Saccharomyces cerevisiae S288C: one gene and its partners. Changing the gene in region 3 together with the main gene of any one other region gives a genetic interaction. Each region holds a gene or a part of one and is shown on either strand. Other genes may lie near its edges.

Region 1 (3,521 bases), on a different chromosome or scaffold from region 3:
AATATACTTGGCCTTCCTTGTGTGGAACCCAACTGAATGAATCAATTCGTCTAATTTGGTCTCATTGATTTGTAAAACGGCCTCTAATGTCATACCTTCTTCGCTGTGCAGTTCGTCTATACAATACCGCATTATGTTAAGCATTGCCATTGCGGTAACTTCATCTTTTGTTTGCGATGATAGCATCACCCCAAGAAGGACCTGTAATCTGTAGTCCCTCGGTGATATCTGCTCTTTCGAGATACCACACTTAGAGGCAACCGTTACAGGAATGGATGATCCACCAATTATATCGACGGGGGCTAGAATCTTAGATCTCAGTACTCGCATTCTAGCGTATGTTTCTTGAAACTTGTAAGGGACTTTCGTCGAGGCCGGAGTGACAAGGATCGAGGGGTCCAATGGTGTGGCCCACCTGTTGGGCACATTGCCGTTTCTAACCACAATCCATTCGAAGTACTGCTTATTTGGCAGCGATTTAACCCAGTCGATATCCACGGGTTGAGGGACAACCTCTTCTTGTTTGATTTTGGTCCTTTTCTCCGGTAGGAGTTCTGATTCTGGCCCAGTTTCAGTCTTTACCAGCGGTCTTTTCCTCAGAATTGCCATAGATGAGTATTTACTGATCTTTTGCATATTTTTTTTTTTTTTGGGCTATAAAGTATATATAGATACAAATATATGATGAATCATTAAAGAGGAGGTTATTACTAAGTGAAAGAAAAAGAAAAAAAAAAAGATCAAAACCAAACTTCGTATTCGAGCCTAAAAAACAGAATATAATGTTATAATACTAATAGAAGCAACAGGAGCACCACTATCAGCACAAGAATAATCACGCAGTTGCCGTTATCCTTGAACCTAGAATTGTTAAAGCCATGCATGGACCGAGAGGCCCTGTTCAAATTCCTACCATTATTATCAATCAGGTTTTCTAAATCAACCAGCAGCGAGTCGTTCTGAGAAACGATCTCATTATTAAGGTCCAGCGAAATGTCATGAGTCCTCCCAATAGACTGAGACAGTGCGCCCAAGTGGGAATCTTGCTCTAACAACTGCTGTTGCTGGTTAATAAATAGTTCTTGGTTGGAAACCATGGGTTGTGGTGGCTGTGGCTGTGACTGTGACTGTAACTGCGATTGCAATGGTTCATCCTTGTATGGAGTATGCGTCGAAGGCAGCGGCGACTCCTCGTCTTGTTCATCGTCATCCTTATACATGACCGTAAGCTCGTCATCATTCTTGAACCGCACTTTTTTCAAAGACTCTTTGGACACCTCATCAGTATTTCTTGCCACCTGCTGTTGGAACCTATACAACTCCTTGTCAACCGCCGTATCAGGAATTTTGTCCAGTATGGTATTGTATCGGGATATTAGTTCATCATTGGGCGCACACTTCTGCAATAACTCCAATATTGAGCCCAATTGCCGTTTCAAAGTAACGTTATCGTTTGAGGTCGGGGCGAGCTTCAACACCGACACTAGCCTTGTTCTTTCTTCGACCAGATCAGAGAGCTGGTCCAGTTCATAACCCAGCTTCAACACATCCATACCGTGTGTGCTTACGCATCTATTTGCTGTCGTGAGATCTGTCTCTATGCTTTATTCGTTTTCCATTGTAAAGTCTCAGCATTTATTTCTTGTTCTTTACTTGTTTTTGCCCTTTCGGGTGATCAAAGTCGTGCTGGGAAATTTTATTCTTATAAAATGATTTTTAGAAATAATAAACTCATAACAGTGCAACGGCAAAGTACAAGGGAAGGAAGCACAGAAGCAAGAGGAGGCGCATCGATCGTGGCAGATGAGTCAGCAAACACCACAGGAAAGTGAACAGACCACAGCGAAAGAACAGGACCTTGATCAAGAGAGCGTGTTGAGCAACATTGACTTCAATACGGATTTGAATCACAATTTGAATTTATCGGAATACTGTATATCCAGTGACGCAGGAACAGAGAAGATGGATAGCGACGAGGAGAAGTCGTTGGCCAATCTGCCGGAGTTGAAATACGCTCCCAAGCTATCCAGCCTGGTGAAGCAAGAGACGCTCACCGAGAGCTTGAAAAGACCACACGAAGATGAGAAAGAGGCGATAGATGAGGCCAAGAAGATGAAAGTGCCGGGAGAGAACGAGGACGAAAGCAAGGAAGAGGAAAAGAGTCAAGAACTGGAAGAGGCAATTGACAGCAAGGAGAAGAGCACCGACGCCAGGGACGAGCAAGGGGACGAAGGTGATAATGAGGAGGAAAACAACGAGGAGGATAATGAAAACGAAAACGAGCATACAGCACCGCCTGCGCTGGTGATGCCCTCCCCCATCGAAATGGAGGAACAGAGGATGACTGCGCTGAAGGAAATCACCGACATCGAGTACAAGTTCGCGCAATTGCGCCAAAAACTATATGACAATCAATTGGTGCGGTTGCAAACGGAGCTGCAGATGTGTCTGGAAGGGTCACACCCGGAATTGCAGGTCTACTACTCGAAGATTGCCGCGATCCGTGACTACAAGCTACACCGAGCGTACCAGCGACAGAAGTACGAGCTTTCATGCATCAACACAGAAACAATCGCTACCAGGACATTCATTCACCAGGACTTCCACAAGAAGGTCACCGACCTGCGAGCCAGGCTGCTGAACAGAACCACGCAGACCTGGTACGATATCAACAAGGAGCGCCGCGATATGGATATAGTCATCCCAGATGTCAATTACCACGTCCCCATCAAACTTGATAACAAGACGCTGAGCTGTATCACGGGCTACGCCAGCGCAGCACAGCTGTGCTATCCCGGCGAGCCCGTGGCAGAGGACCTCGCTTGCGAAAGCATCGAGTACCGCTACAGAGCCAACCCGGTGGACAAACTCGAAGTCATTGTGGACCGAATGAGGCTCAATAACGAGATTAGCGACCTCGAAGGCCTGCGCAAATATTTCCACTCCTTCCCGGGTGCTCCTGAGTTGAACCCGCTTAGAGACTCCGAAATCAACGACGACTTCCACCAGTGGGCCCAGTGACCGCCACACTGGACCCCATACCACTTCTTTTTGTTATTCTTAAATATGTTGTAACGCTATGTAATTCCACCCTTCATTACTAATAATTAGCCATTCACGTGATCTCAGCCAGTTGTGGCGCCACACTTTTTTTTCCATAAAAATCCTCGAGGAAAAGAAAAGAAAAAAATATTTCAGTTATTTAAAGCATAAGATGCCAGGTAGATGGAACTTGTGCCGTGCCAGATTGAATTTTGAAAGTACAATTGAGGCCTATACACATAGACATTTGCACCTTATACATATACACACAAGACAAAACCAAAAAAAATATGACTCTACAAGAATCTGATAAATTTGCTACCAAGGCCATTCATGCCGGTGAACATGTGGACGTTCACGGTTCCGTGATCGAACCCATTTCTTTGTCCACCACTTTCAAACAATCTTCTCCAGCTAACCCTATCGGTACTTACGAATACTCCAGATCTCAAAATCCTAACAGAGAGAACTTGGAAAGA
Region 2 (3,468 bases), on a different chromosome or scaffold from region 3:
TGTTGTGAAAAAAGCTAAATACATCTCTGTTATGGAGCAATTGCTTAACATGTTGCAATATATTTGTAGACATCAGTCAAACTTTTGAAAATCCCTACGTAATGACTGTTCCTGACAAATTGTAGCCTCTCGGTGACCTTCTGTCAAGTCAACCATTCCTTACATACATCATTTATATGCCAGAGGGCAGGGTAATGCAGACATACAAAAACTTTAATTTACCGCGCACCGCACCGCGCAATTTAAGATTATTGAGTCAAAATTAATGATGTATATTATATGATTTCTGTGGTGATAAATTTATTTGAGTTTATAATTATATTTGCTTAGGATTACTATTAAAAATTTTCATCTATAGCACGTTTTTGAGCGTCGTTTAGTGATATTGGATAGTCCACTTTATATTTTACAATCAAATTACCTCTCTGAGATGGGTTCTTTGGAGTTGGCATACCTTGACCAGGATAAGTAGAAGTTTGTGAGGGTTGGACAGGCTGTACTCTCGACAAAGGTAAGGTTCTGCCATCAATTGTTTGGATAGTTTTTGAAAAACCTAACAATGATTCCTTGAAAGATAGTGGCAGAGTGTAAATTAGGTCATCACCGTCTCTTTTAAAGTTTGGATGGCTCTTTTCCTGGATGACAAACTGCAAAGTCTTTCTACGGCCCGTTTGAGGATTGTAATCACCCTGGTTCTTGTATGTTATTTTGGTACCAGCTTTCCAACCCGGTTTTAATTGAATGTCAATTTGTGTCTTTTCAGAGGCCCCATGTGGGCCCTTTCTTCCAATTTTAAATGACTTCTTTTTACCAACAAACAAATCTTCTAGACTAACTGGTAAATTAACTTGAACTGTTTCTTCCTCTGGATACGTGGGAGAGCTTGATGCTGATCTAAAGCCGCCAGGCATACCTCCCATGCCGCCATGCATTCCTCCCATTCCTCCAGGCATACCTCCCATACCAGCACCGCCGCCAGATGGATAACTAGAGAAACTGAAGCCACTGTCATCAGCACCACCGAATGGGGAACTGCCGCCAAAGAATTGTGAAAAAATATTGAAAGCATCCTCATTACTGAACGCATGTCCTCCGGAGAATCCGCCCGCACCGCCAGGGAAGCCTCCAGCACCTCCAGCACCGCCAGGACCACCAGGACCAAAGCTTGGACCACCAGATCTAGCAGCCTCGAGACCGTATTGATCATATATTTCCCTTTTTTGAGGATCATTTAAAATTTCAAAGGCCTCTGATATCTCCTTAAACTTTTCTGTGTCACCTGTTGGCTTATCTGGATGATATTTTAGAGCTGCTTTTCTATAACCCTTTTTCAGTTCTTGCTCATTAGCACTTGGAGATACTCCAAGTAAATCATAAAGTTTTGTCTCCTTGACCATTATTAGTTCTGTATACTATACTCTATTATATTGATGTGAATGTATTAAAAAAAAAATCTTAAAATGCAAACAACTTATCCTTTATCCTCTGAAGAGTTTCTGGATGGTTATACAATTCTAAGTCGTTAAAAGAATTCGTGTAAGAGCTTAAATAATATTAATTAGAATTTTTGACAAGAAAGCGCATAAGTTTAAAAAGGGATTAACAATACGGTAAAGGGACGAGAAATCTATACAATATATATTAAATCTCGAACTACCTTGGCAAGGAGTTTGTGCTGACAGTGGTTGAAAAACCCGTAAAAGGATATCCCATTCTTTTTCCAGAAGTTTCTGGAACGTTCATATAAACCAAAGAGGGTAACACAATACGTTAAGATTCAGAAAAGTAACGACTAGCTATTACTGATCATGTTATAGAAGAGTGCGACAACCATATATTATTAGCGCAGCGATCAACGTGGCAGTCTTGTCATCCATATAAAAAAGGAGTTCTGATTGATGTCTGTTATCTTAGTATCTGCTGGCTATGACCACACAATAAGATTTTGGGAGGCTCTTACTGGGGTTTGTTCAAGAACAATTCAGCATTCCGACTCACAGGTTAATCGCTTAGAAATCACCAACGATAAAAAGTTGTTGGCAACAGCAGGCCATCAAAACGTACGGCTTTATGACATTCGGACGACAAATCCCAATCCAGTAGCATCCTTTGAGGGTCATCGGGGAAACGTTACCTCCGTTTCTTTTCAACAGGACAACAGATGGATGGTGACCTCTAGCGAAGATGGGACCATTAAAGTTTGGGATGTGCGTTCTCCGTCCATTCCTAGAAATTACAAACATAACGCACCAGTAAATGAAGTCGTAATTCATCCTAACCAAGGCGAGTTGATATCTTGTGATAGAGATGGTAATATAAGAATTTGGGACTTAGGAGAAAATCAGTGTACCCATCAATTGACACCTGAGGACGATACCTCTCTCCAGTCTTTATCTATGGCAAGTGATGGTTCGATGTTAGCGGCAGCAAATACTAAAGGTAATTGTTACGTATGGGAAATGCCAAATCATACTGACGCATCCCATCTAAAACCGGTAACAAAATTCAGAGCGCACTCCACATATATAACTAGAATTCTACTATCATCTGATGTAAAACATTTGGCAACATGTTCAGCGGATCACACTGCTCGTGTGTGGTCGATTGATGATGATTTTAAGCTAGAAACGACATTGGATGGCCACCAAAGGTGGGTTTGGGATTGCGCATTTAGTGCTGACAGTGCGTATCTAGTAACGGCATCGTCCGATCATTACGTGAGATTATGGGATTTATCAACTAGAGAAATTGTCAGACAGTACGGTGGACACCACAAGGGAGCTGTATGTGTCGCATTAAACGATGTATAGTTTACAATTTATCAACTACCAAGCTTGAAGGACCGAAGTGACAAAAAACATTATGATTTTCAGTGTTTGCTTATCCGCCTTTTTGTAAATATAGATTTTACTATCCTGTGCATTTTAGTTAATTGATTGTTCACAAAATGAAAGCAATCGCGATGCATATCATCAATGAAAGGAAGACGAGAATGTACAGTATAAACATATTCCCTTGCATGTAGCACTAAATTTTAAGTTTCGTGTAGACGAAAGGTTTAGCTACTTGCGCGACAAAATAGTAATATTTACAGGCATTCTTAAACATTTTATATGTGTACATACTGTGCGTAAGGAAAGAAAATCAAAGCTTGCTCAAAAAAGCCCGCCTACTTCTAGCAATGACTTCAACTTTATTTTTGGTGTAATCAAAACGTCTAGACACAATTGACTTCTTCCCGCTTTTGGTTTCAACCGTACTATCTGTTTCGGGGAAGACCGACTTTAAGTATTTCCTACGCAAATGTACTTCTTCAGATAAAGTCAAAAAATTACAAGCGTCCTTGAAAAGCGCCTTAATATAATTCTTGTCTTTTTTGGTTTCTAAGTGTTGGGATTTTTCTAGGTCCTCTAATAGTTTTGCCTTCAAAGCTTGTTTTTCTTGTTCCGAAATATACTGGTGTAGCTC
Region 3 (3,758 bases):
CAAGGAAGGAATTCGACAAACAGGTAGGGGTGTAGAATCAACCAAGGCGCTTTTAATTTCGTTAGTGCCCTTCTTCTTGTAAAGAAGGCGACCACCAATACCTAGGTCTCTGTCTAGCCACAATTCATTCAGTGTACCTCCATAGGGAGCAACAGCAATTCTTCCGTAACCTTCCGCTGTGTCTTTAAAGGAGACGGGCTTCAATTTGACCGTCAAAGCGTCCACATGAGATCCAATGACACCGACACCCTTTTCGGCTCTCCAGTTTTTGCCCAGGATAAAGGCAGATAGGTTAGTTCCATTTCTTATAGTGTAGAATTTCCCACCATCTTCGCCAATGGAGTCCTGCCAATTGGATTTCTCGCTCAAGTATTTGAAGTTATGCTTATCTAACAGCTCCGCGAAAAATGATACTACATGGTAAGTGGTAGGGTTCTTGTAAATGAAATCAATGAATTCCTGTGCAATATCCTCATAATTGTGCTCGAGGATGCACCACGAATTTTCATTTTCTTTCTTTTCCTTTTCTTCGTTGGCGATTTGGTTATTTTTAGATGGCTCTACAGTTAGCATCTGCAGAGTTTTCTTCAATTGTTCCAGTATTTCACGTTGTTCCTCCATTCTTTTTTTCTTAATTTTGTTGGTTGTGCAGGTTTCTACAATTGCACTAAGATTACTGATCAGGCTCTATACAGTGTATGTCTTGTTCTGTGAAGTCAACTGCTTATAAATGAATTTTTATTATCTAATGGAACGATTAAGGGGTGTGTCAACTATTTCACTTAACCCTATTCTTTCTTACTGTCGTTTGCTTGCATAGCCTATCTTACAGTAATAGAGGTGCAAAACAGCATCACCCCTAGTTGTTTTTCCCGAAAAACCTATCCCAGATTATTTTTTTTTTGAATTAGACAAGAAATCATCCGAAGACCTATTATGCTTCTGATTAAACCTTGAGAAAAACGGAAGTTTGCAACCTATACCCTAAAGTAGAAGCTGACTAATTCATATTCCTCACGAAATGGTGCGACCTCTCTTTATCCATGAGAAAAGGAAGGAGTGGGTTCTTGTTTGATGCTTCTTTATCTGATACCAACAAGCGCAAGAGATAAGGGATTACAATGTTATCATGCCTCAGAAAGTAATAGGATGACATTTTCTTGCAAACGTTGACATTAAAAACATAAAGTACCTTACGGCGTTCGGAGCCTACAAGCCTGCCACAATTTGAGCCGCTGCACAAGAGAACACCGAATGAACAACTGGCTGCAGCTGTCGATGAAACCTCAGCGAATAAAGCACACATTTGTGCGTTTTACAATAACAGGGAAGGTGGAATGTGTTGCCTTCGTCCTTATTTTTCGCGTTGTGAAATATTTTTACTAATTTTTCTTTTCGCGTGGTCATTTTCGCGTTGGGTTGTTTGGGCTAAATAGTGAAAACTAATCTCCATCACGTACCGTACCGTCTTGTACCGGCTGGGAGCAGCATTATAGTGGCCACTCTTATTGGCGTTCTTAATATAAGCAAGTTACCTTTTGCTCGAAACCTGTTTCTTCTTAAAACTCCCTTTGGATCGTAAGTTCGCTAGTTATCCGACTGCAAGGACGTAAATTGGACAGCGAGAGGCCATTAAAACAGAGAGTTGAACTCAAATAGATCATCAAATAGGTTGGATATCCATCATACTACTTGCTACTAATCGCGAAAAGAGATAAATAATAAAATTACAAGAAAGACAAGGTAAAAAGAACGACATAGATTTGCGGGACAAAAAATACTGATAAATAAATCAACAACCAACTATATTCACTCCTTTATTATTTGTTATTAATATTTTTTATTTTTACCACACGACATGACTGGTCACGTTTCAAAAACGAGCCACGTACCCAAAGGTCGCCCGTCTTCATTGGCCAAGAAGGCAGCTAAAAGGGCCATGGCCAAAGTAAATTCGAATCCAAAAAGGGCGTCGGGGCATTTGGAGCGTGTTGTACAATCTGTGAACGACGCTACCAAAAGATTATCTCAGCCCGACTCTACCGTAAGTGTTGCTACAAAATCATCAAAGAGAAAATCCAGAGACACGGTGGGTCCTTGGAAACTTGGCAAAACATTGGGGAAGGGATCTTCTGGTAGGGTTCGCTTGGCTAAAAATATGGAAACAGGACAATTAGCTGCCATTAAAATTGTCCCCAAGAAGAAAGCCTTTGTTCATTGTTCTAATAATGGAACTGTTCCTAATTCTTACTCTTCTTCCATGGTCACTTCCAATGTATCTTCTCCATCAATAGCATCTAGAGAACATAGTAACCATTCTCAAACGAACCCATATGGCATAGAGAGAGAAATAGTAATCATGAAATTGATATCTCACACAAACGTTATGGCATTGTTTGAAGTTTGGGAGAACAAATCAGAGCTGTACCTAGTTTTGGAATATGTTGATGGTGGCGAATTATTCGATTATCTGGTCTCGAAGGGAAAGCTACCTGAAAGGGAGGCTATCCATTACTTCAAGCAGATAGTTGAAGGTGTTTCCTATTGTCATTCTTTTAATATATGCCATCGTGATCTGAAGCCTGAAAATTTATTATTAGATAAAAAGAATAGGAGAATCAAAATTGCTGATTTCGGCATGGCAGCATTAGAGCTTCCTAATAAACTTTTAAAAACTTCATGTGGCTCTCCACACTATGCGTCTCCTGAAATTGTTATGGGTAGACCATATCATGGCGGTCCTAGCGATGTCTGGTCCTGCGGTATCGTTTTATTTGCATTACTCACCGGTCATTTACCATTTAATGATGACAACATCAAAAAGCTGTTGTTGAAAGTTCAATCGGGCAAATATCAAATGCCCTCAAATTTATCTTCTGAGGCTCGTGATTTGATATCAAAAATATTGGTAATTGATCCAGAAAAAAGAATTACCACTCAAGAGATATTGAAGCATCCTCTGATCAAAAAATATGATGATCTCCCAGTTAATAAAGTGCTGAGGAAAATGAGAAAGGATAACATGGCGAGGGGAAAATCTAACTCGGATTTGCATTTGCTAAATAATGTCTCGCCCTCTATTGTAACTTTACATTCAAAAGGGGAAATTGATGAATCCATCTTGAGGAGTTTGCAAATTTTGTGGCATGGAGTTTCTCGTGAACTAATCACTGCCAAGTTGCTTCAAAAGCCAATGTCGGAGGAAAAACTATTCTACTCACTGTTATTACAATATAAACAACGTCACTCAATATCATTGTCCTCGTCAAGCGAAAACAAGAAATCAGCAACAGAAAGTAGCGTAAATGAACCTAGGATTGAATACGCATCCAAAACTGCCAATAATACAGGCCTAAGGAGCGAGAACAATGATGTGAAGACTTTACATTCTCTAGAAATTCATTCAGAAGATACTTCAACAGTGAATCAGAACAACGCAATTACAGGGGTTAATACAGAAATTAATGCCCCTGTATTGGCACAAAAATCGCAATTTAGTATCAATACGCTCAGTCAACCTGAAAGTGATAAGGCTGAAGCAGAAGCTGTAACATTACCACCCGCTATTCCCATATTCAATGCTTCTTCATCAAGGATTTTCCGTAACTCATACACCTCTATTTCATCACGTTCGAGAAGATCGCTACGCTTATCGAATTCCAGATTATCATTGTCCGCTTCAACTTCTAGAGAAACTGTGCATGATAATGAGATGCCTCTACCTCAACTGCCGAAGTCGCCTTCAAGATATTCATTGT

The links.
Region 1: mutations in HSL1 (region 3) and DEP1 together harm fitness more than expected from each alone (negative genetic interaction), as found in Saccharomyces cerevisiae (4 studies listed by BioGRID).
Region 2: mutations in HSL1 (region 3) and LST8 together harm fitness more than expected from each alone (negative genetic interaction), as found in Saccharomyces cerevisiae (4 studies listed by BioGRID).

What each region holds. Positions count from the first base shown.
Region 1 is NC_001133.9:127,467-130,987, forward strand, and holds DEP1 (Rpd3L histone deacetylase complex subunit DEP1), read left to right. Parts: upstream 1-1,803; coding exon 1,804-3,021; downstream 3,022-3,521. Other genes in the region: bifunctional N-glycosylase/AP lyase NTG1, read right to left, coding at 1-636; SYN8 (syntaxin), read right to left, coding at 786-1,553; cystathionine gamma-lyase CYS3, read left to right, coding at 3,333-3,521. UniProt on the Saccharomyces cerevisiae protein: Component of the RPD3C(L) histone deacetylase complex (HDAC) responsible for the deacetylation of lysine residues on the N-terminal part of the core histones (H2A, H2B, H3 and H4).
Region 2 is NC_001146.8:618,169-621,636, forward strand, and holds LST8 (TOR complex subunit LST8), read left to right. Parts: upstream 1-1,898; coding exon 1,899-2,810; downstream 2,811-3,468. Other genes in the region: putative ubiquitin-protein ligase ASI3, read right to left, coding at 1-73; type II HSP40 co-chaperone SIS1, read right to left, coding at 339-1,397; mitochondrial 54S ribosomal protein bL27m MRP7, read right to left, coding at 3,145-3,468. UniProt on the Saccharomyces cerevisiae protein: Essential component of both TORC1 and TORC2. TORC1 regulates multiple cellular processes to control cell growth in response to environmental signals. Nutrient limitation and environmental stress signals cause inactivation of TORC1.
Region 3 is NC_001143.9:247,062-250,819, forward strand, and holds the start of HSL1 (protein kinase HSL1), read left to right. Parts: upstream 1-1,858; coding exon 1,859-3,758. Other genes in the region: metalloaminopeptidase APE1, read right to left, coding at 1-621; YKL102C (uncharacterized protein), read right to left, coding at 1,001-1,306.